Stegostoma tigrinum: one gene and its partner. The main gene of each other region encodes a partner of the protein of the gene in region 2 in a complex. Links are inferred from orthologs where the notes say so. Each region holds a gene or a part of one and is shown on either strand. Other genes may lie near its edges.

Evidence for each region.
Region 1: the proteins of phf2 (region 2) and vrk1 are in contact, whole or in part, in a crystal structure (PDB 8F8Y), measured with the Homo sapiens proteins. The link is inferred for Stegostoma tigrinum from reciprocal best matches to the Homo sapiens genes PHF2 and VRK1. Residues at the interface, in NP_005383.3 of Homo sapiens: Tyr7, Tyr14, Val16, Thr17, Arg18, Phe19, Met20, Ile21, Glu22, Trp29, Glu39, Ala42, Ile45, Asp46, Tyr48, Lys64, Tyr145, Ser147, Glu150, Lys175, Val178, Asp179, Tyr182, Ser183, Thr184; in NP_003375.1 of Homo sapiens: Pro2, Arg3, Val4, Lys5, Ala6, Ala7, Gln8.

The regions. Positions count from the first base shown.
Region 1 is NC_081363.1:21,077,809-21,085,355, reverse strand, and holds the start of vrk1 (serine/threonine-protein kinase VRK1), read left to right. Parts: upstream 1-4,448; 5' UTR 4,449-4,564; intron 4,565-7,547. Other genes in the region: si:dkey-288a3.2 (protein phosphatase 1 regulatory subunit 37), read right to left, coding at 316-592, 2,210-2,317. UniProt on the Homo sapiens protein: Serine/threonine kinase involved in the regulation of key cellular processes including the cell cycle, nuclear condensation, transcription regulation, and DNA damage response.
Region 2 is NC_081364.1:27,942,308-27,949,344, forward strand, and holds the start of phf2 (lysine-specific demethylase phf2), read right to left. Parts: upstream 3,062-7,037; 5' UTR 2,704-3,061; coding exon 2,606-2,703; exon of another isoform or gene 2,456-2,605; intron 1-2,455. UniProt on the Homo sapiens protein: Lysine demethylase that demethylates both histones and non-histone proteins. Enzymatically inactive by itself, and becomes active following phosphorylation by PKA: forms a complex with ARID5B and mediates demethylation of methylated ARID5B.

The DNA.
Region 1 (7,547 bases), on a different chromosome or scaffold from region 2:
GTTATGGGGAGAAAGCAGGATTAGGCTTTTGAGTTGGACAATCAGCCATGAGCGTGAGGAATGGCGAAGCAGGCTTGAAGGGCTGAATGGCCTCCTCCTGATCCTATCTTTGTTTCTATGACGATACTTCAAAATTACTCAGGTGGCTTTAAAGTGCTTTGAGATGTTGAATAGCCATGAAAGGTGCCACAAAAATGTAAATCCTCATTTTCACAAAAATGTCTGATTAGCACTATCTTAGCCATACTTAATGGCTTGTAATATGGAGGTTTAATTTTACTTGGACATGTTCAAGAAATAATGTCCTGTACTTACCAGCTTCCCATGGATTCCAGGGTTCTGCTGATCCAGAGACGATCTCTCCCCCTGAAGGAAAACTGACATGTTTCTTTGGTTTAGCTTTCAGTCCATTATTTAAACTTGTGTCCTGTTGAACAGTAGTGACATCTTTGGCATCCACATTGTTAGTGAGTACAGATGTTTGCAGCTGTCCCTCGTAGGCATTTTCTGTTGCACTCATCTCATTGTTTGTAGCTTGATGTGAAAACACAGTCACAGGTTCTCTCGTTTCACAGAACTGTCCATGTGATACCTTTCACAGTAGTTTAATAATTTAAAAAGAAACTACATGAACCTGTCTACTGAGCTAGAGATTTTCATATTCACTTTGTCTTCCTCACAAATTATTTTTCTTCCATGAAGTAAATATTTAATTACAGTTTTATGTGCTTCATACCTCGTAATCAGGTTTGTTTTCCTGAATGTTTAATATAAGAAAAATATTGCCAACATCTCTGGAGTTATCCAAATATGCATAAATTGCATGAAATTATACCAAATACATCCCATTACCAACAAATATAATGTAAAAAAAAACTAAAAATACAATATTTTATGTAAAATAGATCAGGGCTACTTATCAGTCTGTAAGATCTAAGGCTAATTTACAAATTTTCCTTCCTTATTTTCTTCCATCATGGACAAATACCAGCACTAGTTGATCCTCTCTAACCTGTCCATTGTCAGTAGTTAGAGATAACAAAGTGTGGAGCTGGATGAACACAGCAGGCCAAGCAGCATCTTAGGAGCACAAAAGCTGACGTTTCGGGTCTTGACTCTTCATCAGTAAAGCTTTATTCTGCTGTGTTCATCCAGCTCCACACATTGTATTGTCGGATTCTCCAGCATCTGCAATTCCCATTAATATTGTCAGTAGTAATTGGTTACATGACCAAACAACTAGACTGAAAAGACCGGGCTGGTCTCAGAGTAGCAGTTAGTTAGATGATAATGCCTATGGGGTATTCCATTATATACTTCAGTTAAAAAAAAGTCCCGCTGCTAATTTTATTTCTTCTAATTCCATTAAATGTTTCGGGGGGAAAAAAAATCATTGAGAGAAAAGAGGAAGTGATGATGTAAAGTGGGGCCATTCGATCTTTTTGACTTCATGGGCTCTGCAAGTGTCTGCCACAGGACATGAGGGTCAGATGCAAATTTGAAATTAAATTTGTGATCTCATTAATTTATCCATATTTCAAATTGCTGGTATTAACACATCCTTACTGAGGCACAAGTCAGAGTTTTATAGTGTGGGAAAGTTCAGTCCATTATTTCTATGCCGGAGATCAAACTCCTATCTACTTCTTGAATGTTGTGATAGCTGCCACCTTTACTATCTTTTCAGGCAGTGAATTCCAGATTCACACTGTGTTTGGGATTAAAATGTTCCCTTAATCGCCTCTAAACATGTACTTCAAATCCCTGTCAAAATCTGAAAAACTGTGGTTGTTGTAAATCAGAAACAACATCAGAAACTCAACCAGAAACATTAACTCTGATTTCTCTCCACACTTATTACCAGCAATTTCTGCTTTTGCTCCTTAAATCTATACCCCTTGTTATGGAGTACTCTACTAAGGGGAAAAGATTCTTTCCTAACCACCCTATCTCTGTTGTTCCATAATTTTTGCATTTCTCTGTCAGGTTCCGCTTTTTCCCTTCACTGCTCTAAGGAAAACAACATCAGCCTAACTATTCTGTCTTCGTAGCTGAAACATTCCAAACTCAGGCAACATTTCTCTCCAACAGTGTGAACTTTACTTCAGTTATGGCTTAAGTAGCATGTTGTGCAGGTGCATCATAATCTCCCTGCTCTTATGTTCAAAACCTCAACTAATAATGGCAAGCACCCATATGCATTCTTTACCACCTTATCAAACTGTCCTGTTGCTTTCAAGGATCTTTGGATGTGCACACTAAAGGCCTTCTGATCACATGCATTTCCTCGGGCGTCACGACTTTCTTGTCTTGTCATCATGTACACCGAAATGCATCACTTTATACTTTTTTGGATTAAATTCCATTTGCCTTGTTCTGCCAGCACATCTATACTAGCCTGTCATCGAAGGCTTTCCTCCTTTCAGTTCAACAAACCTCAATTTTCATGTGATCTGTGCACTTCCTGTATAAACCTCCTATATTCATGTCCAGACCTTTAATGCACACTACAAACAGCAGCGAAGCAGCAGCAAACAATGTGGTACACCACTGGTTATAAATTTCCAGACACAAAGACTATCACACTACACAAACTGCCTCCAAACTGACTCCAATTTGCCAGATTTCCCTGGATTCCATGGGGTCTTAGTTTCTAAACCAATCTTCTATGTGAAACCTTGTCAAGAGCCTTACTGAAGTTCATGTAGACTACATCCAGCACACTTCCATAGATTAGGTGGTGGCATGGTAGTATTATCACTAGGCTACTAATCCAGAGATCCAGGCAATGTTCTGGGGACATGGCAGGTGACAGAATTTGAATTTAATAATACTCTGGACACAAAAGTCCGCTGATGGCCATGAAACAGTTGTCGATTGTCAAGGGAAAAAACCCATCTCATTCACTAATGTCCTTTAGGGAAGGAAATGAGCCATCCTTACCTGGTCTGGCCTACACATGACTCCAGACCCACTGCAATATGGTTGGCTTTTAACTGCCCTCTGGGCAATTAGGAATGGGCACTGAATGCTGGCCCATCCAGAGATGTTCACATCCTTTGATTGTATTAAAAGCCCTCATCCACACATCTAGTCACCTCTTCAAAAAAGTTGTTAGGCATGATCTCCTCTTGACAAAGCCATGCCATTCTTGATTAATCCTTGTCTCTTCATGTGGGGATTAATCTGTACCGCAGAATTTTCTCCAACAGTTCCTCCACCACAGATGTTAGACTCACTATACTTCCCAGTTTTATCCCTACCATTCTTCTTGAAAAATGGGTCCACATTGGCTGCGCCTCTGTCCTTTGGCACATTTCCTGTATCCAGAGGGGATTTAATGCCAGAGCCCTTGAAATCTACTCTGTTGCCACCCACAGCAACCTGGGATATCTCTCACCTGGTTTTATGGTCTCACCCAATTCTAAACCCATTAGAACTGTTAACACCATCTTCTGGTCAATTGTAGTTACTTTAAGGTACTGATCAAAAAATGTACAAATGGATTCATCCAAGATTGAGGTCATAAAATGTAAACTTGTTAAACTAGAAAATATGAAGTTATAAGTTAACTAAACTTCAAGGGCCTGATGGGCAGGCTAAGTTGTAACACCCCTCCATTGAGCTACAAGTGAGCTACCTAAAACAATGAACACAGAATAAAAAAGACAGAATGCAACATACAACGAATGAGAAAAAATCTGCCTATATTAACAGATGTTATTTTCACTTTGAGATTAAAGTGAACCATTTCTGAAAATCTAATCAAGTGTTTTTTTTCCTTCAGAGTAGTAGATTTGGGAAGGATTCTCAATGAAAACAGAAGGAAGAGGTTTTCATGATCTTGATCTGGCAACAGTGAAGGATAGCAACAAAGTTCCAAGTCAGGATGGTATGTCTTAGACAGGAACTTGCAAATGGTGGTGCCATGCAGCGATTTGGACAGAAATCAATGTTCCTGGTGTGGCTTCTGACCTAGACACATGGCTTCTACCTGGCACCTGAATCCGTATGTGGTGACCCTGCCAAATCACCAGGACACCCCCCAAAGCAAAAACAGAAATTGCAGAAGAATGTCAGCAGGGGACAAAATGCAGATGGAAATTGACATACCATGATTAAGTCTGATGAAGAACCACTGGACTCGAAACAGTAACTCTACTTTCTCTCCACACATGCTGCCAGATCAGCTGAGATTTTATAGCAAATTCTGGTTCTGAAGGTGAGATGATCTCCAGTTCCAAAGCTCTCATCAAGGATTTGGGGGTTAAGTGGGACTCTGCAGCAGAGGTGGGAGAGGTATTAAGTTGTTGTTGTTGTTGTTGTTGTAGGCTTTGATGGACAGTTAGTGGCTCCGCCTCCCGACTCACAATCTCACCGCGGATTGGGCAAAGGGCGGGGTCCGTCGCGGCTAATGGGATGCCTCTTTACTCATTGCGGTGCTGACCAATGAGGAGGATTGTTAGTGTGATCTGGCACGGGGCCACGGGAAATTGACAGTTTGTGCGCCAATTTCAGAGAGAGCGAGAGCGAGCGACCAGAAAGATCTCCATCAGCGGCTGGGGTGAGTGTGACCTGGGGTGGGCCAGATGGGACACAAGGCAAAAGGAGAAAACGCAGGCTCACAGCAAGCAGGCCGAAAACTCAAGCTGATCGCCCCATGTCTATTCACCGGTCTGTGCTGGAGCTGCTTCCGCATTAACCCCCTTAATCTGCATTACCCCCCCTCCCTCTGAATTAACGCCCCCTCCCTCTGAATTAACGCCCCCTGCATTACCCCCCCTCCCTCTGAATTAATGCCCCCTGCATTACCCCCCTCTGAATTAACGCCCCCTGCATTACCCCCCCTCCCTCTGAATTAACGCCCCCTGCATTACCCCCCCTCCCTCTGAATTAATGCCCCCTGCATTACCCCCCTCTGAATTAACGCCCCCTGCATTACCCCCCCCTGAATTAACGCCCCCTGCATTACCCCCCGTCCCTCCCTCTGAATTAACGCCCCCTGCATTACCCCCCCTCCCTCTGAATTAACGCCCCCTGCATTACCCCCCCTCCCTCTGAATTAACGCCCCCTGCATTAAACCCCTCCCTCTGAATTAATGCCCCCTGCATTAACTCCCCTCCCTCTGAATTAATGCCCCCTCCATTACCCCCCCTCTGAATTAACGCCCCCTCCATTACCCCCCCCCTCTGAATTAACGCCCCCTCCATTACCCCCCCTCCCTCTGAATTAATGCCCCCTCCATTACCCCCCCTCTGAATTAACGCCCCCTCCATTACCCCCCCTCCCTCTGAATTAACGCCCCCTCCATTACCCCCCTCCCTCTGAATTAACGCCCCCTCCATTACCCCCCTCCCTCTGAATTAACGCCCCCTCCATTACCCCCCTCCCTCTGAATTAACGCCCCCTCCATTACCCCCCTCCCTCTGAATTAACACCCCCTGCATTACACCCCGCCTCCGAATTAACGCCCCCTGCATTACCCACTCCCTCTGAATTAATGCCCCCTGCATTAAACCCCTCCCTCTGAATTAATGCCCCCTGCATTAACTCCCCTCCCTCTGAATTAATGCCCCCTGCATTAACTCCCCTCCCTCTGAATTAACGCCCCCTGCATTAACTCCCCTCCCTCTGAATTAACGCCCCCTGCATTACCCCCCTCTGAATTAATGCCCCCTGCATTACCCCCCCTCTGAATTAGCGCCCCCTGCATTAACTCGCCTCCCTCTGAATTAATGCCCCCTGCATTACCCCCCCTCTGAATTAACGCCCCCTGCATTACCCCACCTCTGAATTAACGCCCCCTGCATTAACTCCCCCCTCTAAATTAACGCCCCCTGCATTAACTCCCCTCCCTCTGAATTAATGTCCCCTGCATTACCCCCCCTCTGAATTAACGCCCCCTGCATTACCCCCCCCCGCATTACCCCCCCTCTGAATTAGCGCCCCCTGCATTAACTCCCCTCCCTCTGAATTAACGCACCCTGCATTACCCCTCCCTCCCTCTGAATTAACGCCCCCTGCATTATCCCTCCCTCCCTCTGAATTAACGCCCCCTGCATTACCCCCCCTTCTGAATTAACGCCCCCTGCATTACCCCTCCCTCCCTCTGAATTAACGCCCCCTGCATTAACTCCCCTCCCTCTGAATTAACGCCCCCTGCATTACCCCCCTCTGAATTAATGCCCCCTGCATTACCCCACCTCTGAATTAACGCCCCCTGCATTACCCCACCTCTGAATTAGCGCCCCCTGCATTAACTCCCCCCTCTGAATTAATGCCCCCTGCATTACCCCCCCTCTGAACTAACGCCCCCTGCATTACCCCCCCCTCTGAATTAGTGCCCCCTGCATTAACTCCCCTCCCTCTGAATTAACGCCCCCTGCATTAACTCCTCCCCCCCCTCTGAATTAACGCCCCCTGCATTAGCCTCCCCCTCTGAATTAACGCCCCCTGCATTAACCCCCGTCCCCCTGCATCCCTCTGCCTGAACCACCCTCGTCTTCACCCCTACTGCAGTGGCCTCCTGCCACTCCTCCCTGCAAACCCATCTGCTCTACTACCCTCACTCCAGTACCTGCCAACCCCTACCCTTACCCCAAACCCCCCCCCCACACAGACACCCTCCCTGCTGTCCCCACACTGTTTTCCCCCCCCCCAACTCTTCCCGCACTGCCTCTTGCACCTCCTCCGTCTGCCCACTCCCTCCACTGTTTGCCCTGTTGCTATCCTCTTCAACCCCTCCTCAACCCCTAATAATGTGATTCACCAAGGAATATGGTCATAAAGTAGTAGAAATATACAGCAAGGAAATAGACCATTCGGTCCAACTTGCCCACGCTGAGCAGGCATCTTAAATTAATCTAGTCTTATTTTCCAGTATTTGGGCCATTTCCCCATCCAGATGCCTTTTATACGTTGTAATTATACCAGCCTCCTCCTGTTCCTCGACTAGCTCATTCCATACATGCACCACCATCTGCTTGAAGTTTTCTCTTGTGTCCCTTTTACTCTTTTTTTTTTTCTCTCTCCTTAAGCCTATGCTTTGTAGTTTTGGATTCCCCAGTTGTGGGGAAAAGATTTTGACTAGCCATGCCCCTCATAGTTTTATAAACCTTTATAAGGTCACTCCTCAGCTGCTGACACTCCAAGGAAAATAGCCCTAGCTTATTCAGCCTCCCCCATTAGCTCAAACCCTCCAACCCTGTCATCATCTTTGTAAATATTTTCTGAGCCCGTTCAAGTTTCACAACATCCTTCCTATGGGAGGGAGACCAAAATTACATGCAGTATTCCAAAAGTGGCCGAACTAATGTTGTGTACAACCCCAACATGACCTCTCAACTCCTATACTCAAATGTACTGACCAATAAAGGCAAGCATACTGTAAGCCATCTTCACTACCCTGTCTACCTGACGCTCCACTTTCAAGGAACTATGAACCTGCACTCCAAGATCTGTTTGTCAGCAGCACTCCCCAGGACTTTACCATTACGTGTGTAAGTTCTGCCTTGATTTGCCTTTCCAAAATGCAGCACCTCTCATT
Region 2 (7,037 bases):
TGGAGGCCCACGATGGACGTGTCATCTAAAGAATGGGAGGGTGAGTGGAAATGTTTTGCGACTGGGAGGTGCAGTTGTTTATTGCGAACCGAGCGGAGGTGTTCTGCAAAGCGGTCCCCAAGCCTCCGCTTGGTTTCCCCATTTCCACTCCCCCTCCCATTCTTTAGATGACACGTCCATCGTGGGCCTCCTGCAGTGCCACAATGATGCCACCCGAAGGTTGCAGGAACAGCAATTCATATTCCGCTTGGGAACCCTGCAGCCCAATGGTATCAATGTGGACTTCACCAGCTTCAAAATCTCCCCTTCCCCCACCGCATCCCAAAACCAGCCCAGTTCGTCCCCTCCCCCCACTGCACCACACAACCAGCCCAGCTCTTCCCCTCCACCCACTGCATCCCAAAACCAGTCCAACCTGTCTCTGCCTCCCTAACCTGTTCTTCCTCTCACCCATCCCTTCCTCCCACCCCAAGCCGCACCTCCATCTCCTACCTACTAACCTCATCCCACCTCCTTGACCTGTCTGTCTTCCCTGGACTGACCTATCCCCTCCCTACCTCCCCACCTATACTCTCCTCTCCACCTATGTTCTCTTCTCTCCATCTTCGGTCCGCCTCCCCCTCTCTCCCTATTTATTCCAGAACCCTCATCCCATCCCCCTCTCTGATGAAGGGTCAAGGCCCGAAACATCAGCTTTTGCACTCCTGAGATGCTGCTGGGCCTGCTGTGTTCATCCAGCCTCACATTTCATTATCTTGGATTCTCCAGCATCTGCAGTTCCCATTATCACTGCATATTAAAGAGATTTGCCAGTTAACCACCCAAGAGAGTGTAGTTAGCTTCAGCTGTCAAAACTATGACAAAGAAAGTTAGCTGTTTGCCAGTTACTTTCTAACCTGCTCAAATCAGTTAATTATAAATACTGTACATTCGCAAAATGATAATAAATTGACGAGTGTCTGTCAGTGACCACACACTTGTTTCTAAATATTAAATGATCAAGATTTGGCTAAAATGTCAAAAGATGTCTAAATAAAAAAGTATTTAATACAGCTGATGAAACTTTTAGTTAATTTTTAACATAGGTTGAACTACTGGTGATAGAATACGAAAAAAAAACCTAATTTTTATTATTTTTTAAAATGTCCTCTGATCAATCTCCAGCTTGGTGGGCTTCTAGCGCTTTTCTGAAATCGTTAAAAGCAGCTAAGTGCAGCATGATTCAGCCACAGGTGAGTAATCTTCACGACAGTCCCTTCAGTCAGTCAACTACTTATTACTTGACCGAACCAGAGATTGGATTCATACGGGAGAAGTTGAAGGGAGAAAACTCCAGCTTCATTATGAGTTGACACATGTCTCTGCTCTATTTATTTACTCAGAAAAAAAAACTTAAATATATAATTAAGCAATCGATTTTTTCTCGAAAAGTTAGTTATTCATAAGTTTCTAATGGGAAGGGGGAGCTACTGACCGAAATTGTATTTTTAAGTCACCAAAAACATTCAAATGGTATGTTCTATTTCACATAAGATGGTAAGCGCCAAAAACTTTGAAGAAGTTTGTGTGCTGGTGATCTATGTTCCTAAACGTATTTAAGAAGGACAATTTCAAAACACTAACTGTACAAACCGCCAGACCAAACACATTTTGTCTTTTTTCTTCGTTATACAGTAAATATAGACGAAATGGATTCCTGGCATGTTGCATGCATCAGGGAAAAAAAACTTTCAGGTGCTATTTAACTTCAAAATTAATCGACAGTTAACAGTGAAACCCGTTTCTTTTTAAAAACGGACTGAAAATCAAGGGATTAAGAAACGTCAGCAAAGGCCTTCTGACATTTATTTTCAGAAACCACACGTGGAAATACTATAAATAAAACGCAAGTTAAATGTCAACATTTACGTCTGCCCGATCAGGTCCCGCTTATTTTATCAATTTAAACAAAAGCGGGAATCGTCCCGGGGGCAGAAATCGTAGATTATTAAATCACCAAGAGCTGCTCAAAAATATCCCACCAGTTCGGTCGTGAGCAGGAGAGAAGCGCCTTGCGATTTGTAAACACATTCAGACGGTGCAAAAATCACATAATTTGCGTATACATATCTTCAGCTGTTTTATTTCGGGAGATTTTAAGGATCACTGATCAGAAACAAAACATGGGGAACACCTTTCACAACATTTAATACAAATTGTCTTCACAAACGCCATCCTTTACGGGGCCCCGCCACCACCACCACAACAACAACAACAAAAACAACCCCCACCGCCCCCCAGCCATCATCAAACATCTTGCTGGAGGTTGGGGGGGCGCTGATCTCTCAGAAAGGCGAATATTTACACAATGATAAATAGCTTCTGTCACCCGGAGAGAGCCGTCTGCAGCGCCGCCTTCTTCCTCAGGCCTCGCTTCTTGTAAAACTGTCGCCACAGTCAATGGACTGCACAGCTCCCGCCAACACTTCACAGACCGCCCGCCCGACCGACCGCCACACACACACACACCGAAAGCGGCAACCAGATCACACAACAAAAAAAACCGGACAAAGGCCGGGGAAGGAAGGGAGCCGGGGGTGAGAGAGAGGACAAAGCTGCCTTTTACCTGCCGTGAAACCAGTCTTTGCACGCATCGCATTCAATCATAAATCGAGTTACGTCGTAAGGTAACCGACAGATGCAGTAGACTGGTACAGTCGCCATGTTTTTAGCTGGCTCCCCAGAATGAGAGCAAAGCGCCTTCTTGCCGCACACAACAATTCTTGCAAATGTTTCCTCTTCTTCCCCCTCCGTCAACTCTGTGTTTCTGCGATGGCTGGCCGCCCTGTCTACGGTCTGTGAATTTTTCCTGTCTTGTTTCTCTCTCCTCCGCCCTCCCTCTCCCCGACACACTCAGACATAACCTTCCTTCTGAAGTTGCTCACATCGTCTCTAAGCTGCGGCTCCGGGCACAATGCGCTCGCTCTCCCTCTCTGCCGTTGCCTGACAGTTGTATACTGTACGGAGCAGACTGTATCCTTTCATTGCTAAATTACGTCAGGCAACTCACTGGCTCTCAGAGCTTCAATACTATTGTAACCAGTGCATCGACACTGAGCAGCCAGCTCCCCTGCCACAATGTAACAACAGCCTGCTTCCCATCAAACTTCAGAAATAGGGACAGCAAAACACACCTTCATTTTTATTTGCGCCTTAAAAGTTGTCCATGGATCTGTAACTGTATCCGCACTATACCCTTCCCCTCTGTCTAAAGCTGTTACTTATTGCATTTTATGCAGTAAAAAAGTATCGTAAACGCAGAGTCAAATTTTAAAAATTGGAAGTTAGTTACGATCAAAAGAATATTGAAAGGTTGCTAGAGAAATAACATATTACCACGCCACGTTATTTGTTGAATGGGCAAAGTAATTTTAGAACATGAATTCTCTACTCACATTCTGGAACAAACCACGTTTGGGAAAAAAAGTGATGTTTATTTATGCTAGCCAGAAAAAAATGTAATATGTAATACAGTAATTATGGATACAAACAACTGATCAATTCTTGAATTATGATAGAGGACCTCGAGGTATAACTGATATTTTTACATCACGTGTAAATTTGTTAAAATTTCTATCCGATATGCCAGCTTTACTGCATTCAGCACAGCTATTAAATGGATAAAGAGTAGATAATCATCGTAAATCAAATGGTTGATGTAACTTTAAAATGTGAATTTATACTAATCAACAGTATTCAATTTCAATGAGATAGTAGTGCAGCATCTGTCTAGCTGCAAGTGTACAATAACTATTCCTCTCAGTAGCGAGGTCTGTGTGCAGTTTGATTCTTGCACAGGCAGCATTTTCCCAATAGGGATAAAATATTGAGAATATTTTGTCTTTAAATATTAAAATTAACGTTAAAACATTTGATATTCAATTTCACATTGAAGACTGAACCTTTTTTTGTTTCAAATCAGGTTTAACATTATACTCAGTTTTCAGTCAACATAGTGCCACTGCAGAACTAAGTGAAAATTATCTGCAGAGAATTGTACACTGCTTCACTCTAGGATCACATCAGACCCTAACTCTGGCTCTGCAGTGAAACAAAAATGTGAAATGAAAATTGTTCCACATCAATGCTAAAGTTGTGCTGGCAATCTACCCTAAAGCATTCACTTAACTTTACAGTTCTGTCCACATTTATAAGCCACTTGAAATGCAGTTTTCATATGTTAGATAATCAGGAATCTTCAATTGAATTAAACAAACAGTAATGCTGAAAAGTCTAGAATTATGAAATGAAATCATAAATTTCCTAAATATATAGCTGGGCAATCAGCAACTGAAACAGACAGACAAAGCAACGTGCCAAGGAGAATTTACAGGATAAACTCTTACCTTTCAGTAAAAGCAAAATCACAGGATCATCAAGTCTTTACAGCACAGAATGAAATTAATCAGCCATTGTGTCCGCACCAACTCTCCAAACGAACATCATGACTTACTGGCATTCTTGTATCTTTTCCCTTTACTGTTGCACATTATTTAAGCAGAAACAGTCATTAATGCCCGCTTGAATATCTCAATTGAATCCACCTTTACTACACTTTCAGGCGGCATTTTCTCGGCCCATTGTGTAAAAAAAAATTCTCTCACACCTCACTTGCTTCTTTTGCAAATCATTTTAAGTCTGTGTTTTCTTGTTTTTGATTCTTTTACAAGCAAGAGCAGTTTTTCCCAGTCTACTTTACCCCTTCATGATTTTGAAAATTTCCATCAGCTCGCCTCTTACGCTTGTCCTCTACAAAAAGAAGTCTCCCCTCTATTCCTATTACTAAGCTTTCTCATTCCAAGAACCATCTTTGTAGATATATTTGGCATTTTCTCCAATGTCTTCATATCCTTCCAAAAGTGTGGCACCCATAACTGTAAACAATACTGCAGCTAAGACCTGACAAGTGCCTTTCATAAGTTCAACATCATCTCCTTTACTACTTGTCTATTAACTACTCTCTCCACCTGCCCTGCTATCATCAATAATCTGTGCATGTTTACTTCCAGAACCCTCTGTTTCTGCAACCCCTTTAGAATATCCAAGGTACCTCACTTTGCTGCATTAAACTTGATCTGCTACCTAACCACCCACTCCACCAACATGTCCACGTCCTTCTGAACTTCTCCACTGTCTTTCACACAGTTTACAATCATCCATATCCTTTGAAATTATCCACTATGTACAAAGATCCAGACTATTAATATACATCAAGAAAATCATGAATCCCAATAGCAACCCCTGGGGGACTCGATTAAAAATCTTCCTCCAGCACAAAAAATATCAATTGACCACTGATCTATGTTTTCTGTTACTCAGCCAATTTTGTATCCATGTTGATAGTCACTTTTATTCCATGAACTATCACTTTTTCCACATCTTCGGTATGGTATTTGCATGTCCATTCATGCCACATCAATAACTTTATACTGATTAATTCCTGTATTTTGAAAAATTTCAGCAAGTTAGTTAAATGTGATTTCCCCTTTAGAAATGCATCTTGGCTCATGCTAATCAACCTACTTTTTTCAACATGACGACAAATTGTACCCCAAATAATTGATTCCAGAAGCTTTCCTACCACTGATGTTAAATTGATTAATCTTCAGGTTGCCAGGCTTATCCTTACATCATTTTTGAACAAGAGTGTGATTATTGCAATTCTACAGTCTTCTGACTCCTCTCCTGAGCCCAGGGAAAACTGAAAGATTTTGGCCACTGTCACTGCAACTTCCACCCTCACTTCTTTAATAAATCCTGGATGCATCTGCCAGCCCCAGGATGTTGTCAACTTTAAGTACCAACAGTCAATACAACATTTCTTCCAGTAATTTTGGCTCTAGTGACCAACCTTTGTCACCATGACCTGGGTAATAATCACTTCCTTCTTTACGACAGATGCAAACTATTAATTTAGTTTGCTCCCATTCTCCACATGTAAATCCCCTTTTCCATCCTTGATTCGTCCTATCCCACATTTTGTGACTCCCTCACTATTTTACATCTTTTGAAGACTTTGAGGTTCCCTTTATGTTGGCTGCCAGTCTGTTCTTGTAATTCATTTTTGCTTCTCTAACATGCTTTCTCAACTCCCTTCTGAATCTTTAATCTTTTGCTTAGTCCTCAATTGTATTTTCAACCTGACACCTGCCATAAAAATACTTTTCTCTCTTTTTCTTAATTTCTATCTCATTTGTCATCCAGTGACATCAGGATTTGTTTGTCCTATCTTTCCTATTTGAAGGAATACACCTTGACTGTATTCAATAGACAATAGGTGCTGGAGTAGGCCATTCATTACGATCTTGGCTGATCATCCACAATCAGTATCCTGTTCTTGCCTTATCCCCATAACCCTTCATTCCACTATCTTTAAGAGCTCTATCTATCTCTTTCTTGAAACTATCCAGAGACTTGGCCTCCACTGCCTTCTGGGGCAGAGCATTCCATATATCCACCACTCTCTGGGTGAAGAAGTTTTTCCTCAACTCTGTTCTAAATGGCCTACCCCTTATTTTTAAACTGTGTCCTCTGGTTCTGGACTCACCCATCAGCGGAAACATGCTTCCTGCCTCCAGAGTGTCCAATCCCTGAATAATCTTATACGCCTCAATCAGATCCCCTCTCATCCTTCTAAACTCAAGTGTATTCAAACCATCTCCTTTTTTGACACAGCCGATTGCTCAGAAACAGTGTCTCCTGAACCTTTCGTTCCAGTCAATCCAGCCCAACTCCTTTCTTTTGCCCATTGAAGTCGGGTCTATGCCAACTGTTATTTTCATACTTCTGTATTGAACATTATCACTTACTCCATTATCCTAAACATTACAACAGAATGATCATTTCTTCCTCAATGTTTCTCCACTGGCACTTGATCTACTTGACCCACTTCATTTTCAAGAACCAGGTCCAACACTGTATCCTTTGCTTTTCGACCAGACACATACTGGTGTCGGAAAAAGACTACACCGAACAACTTTATTGCACCGTTCTTGTTC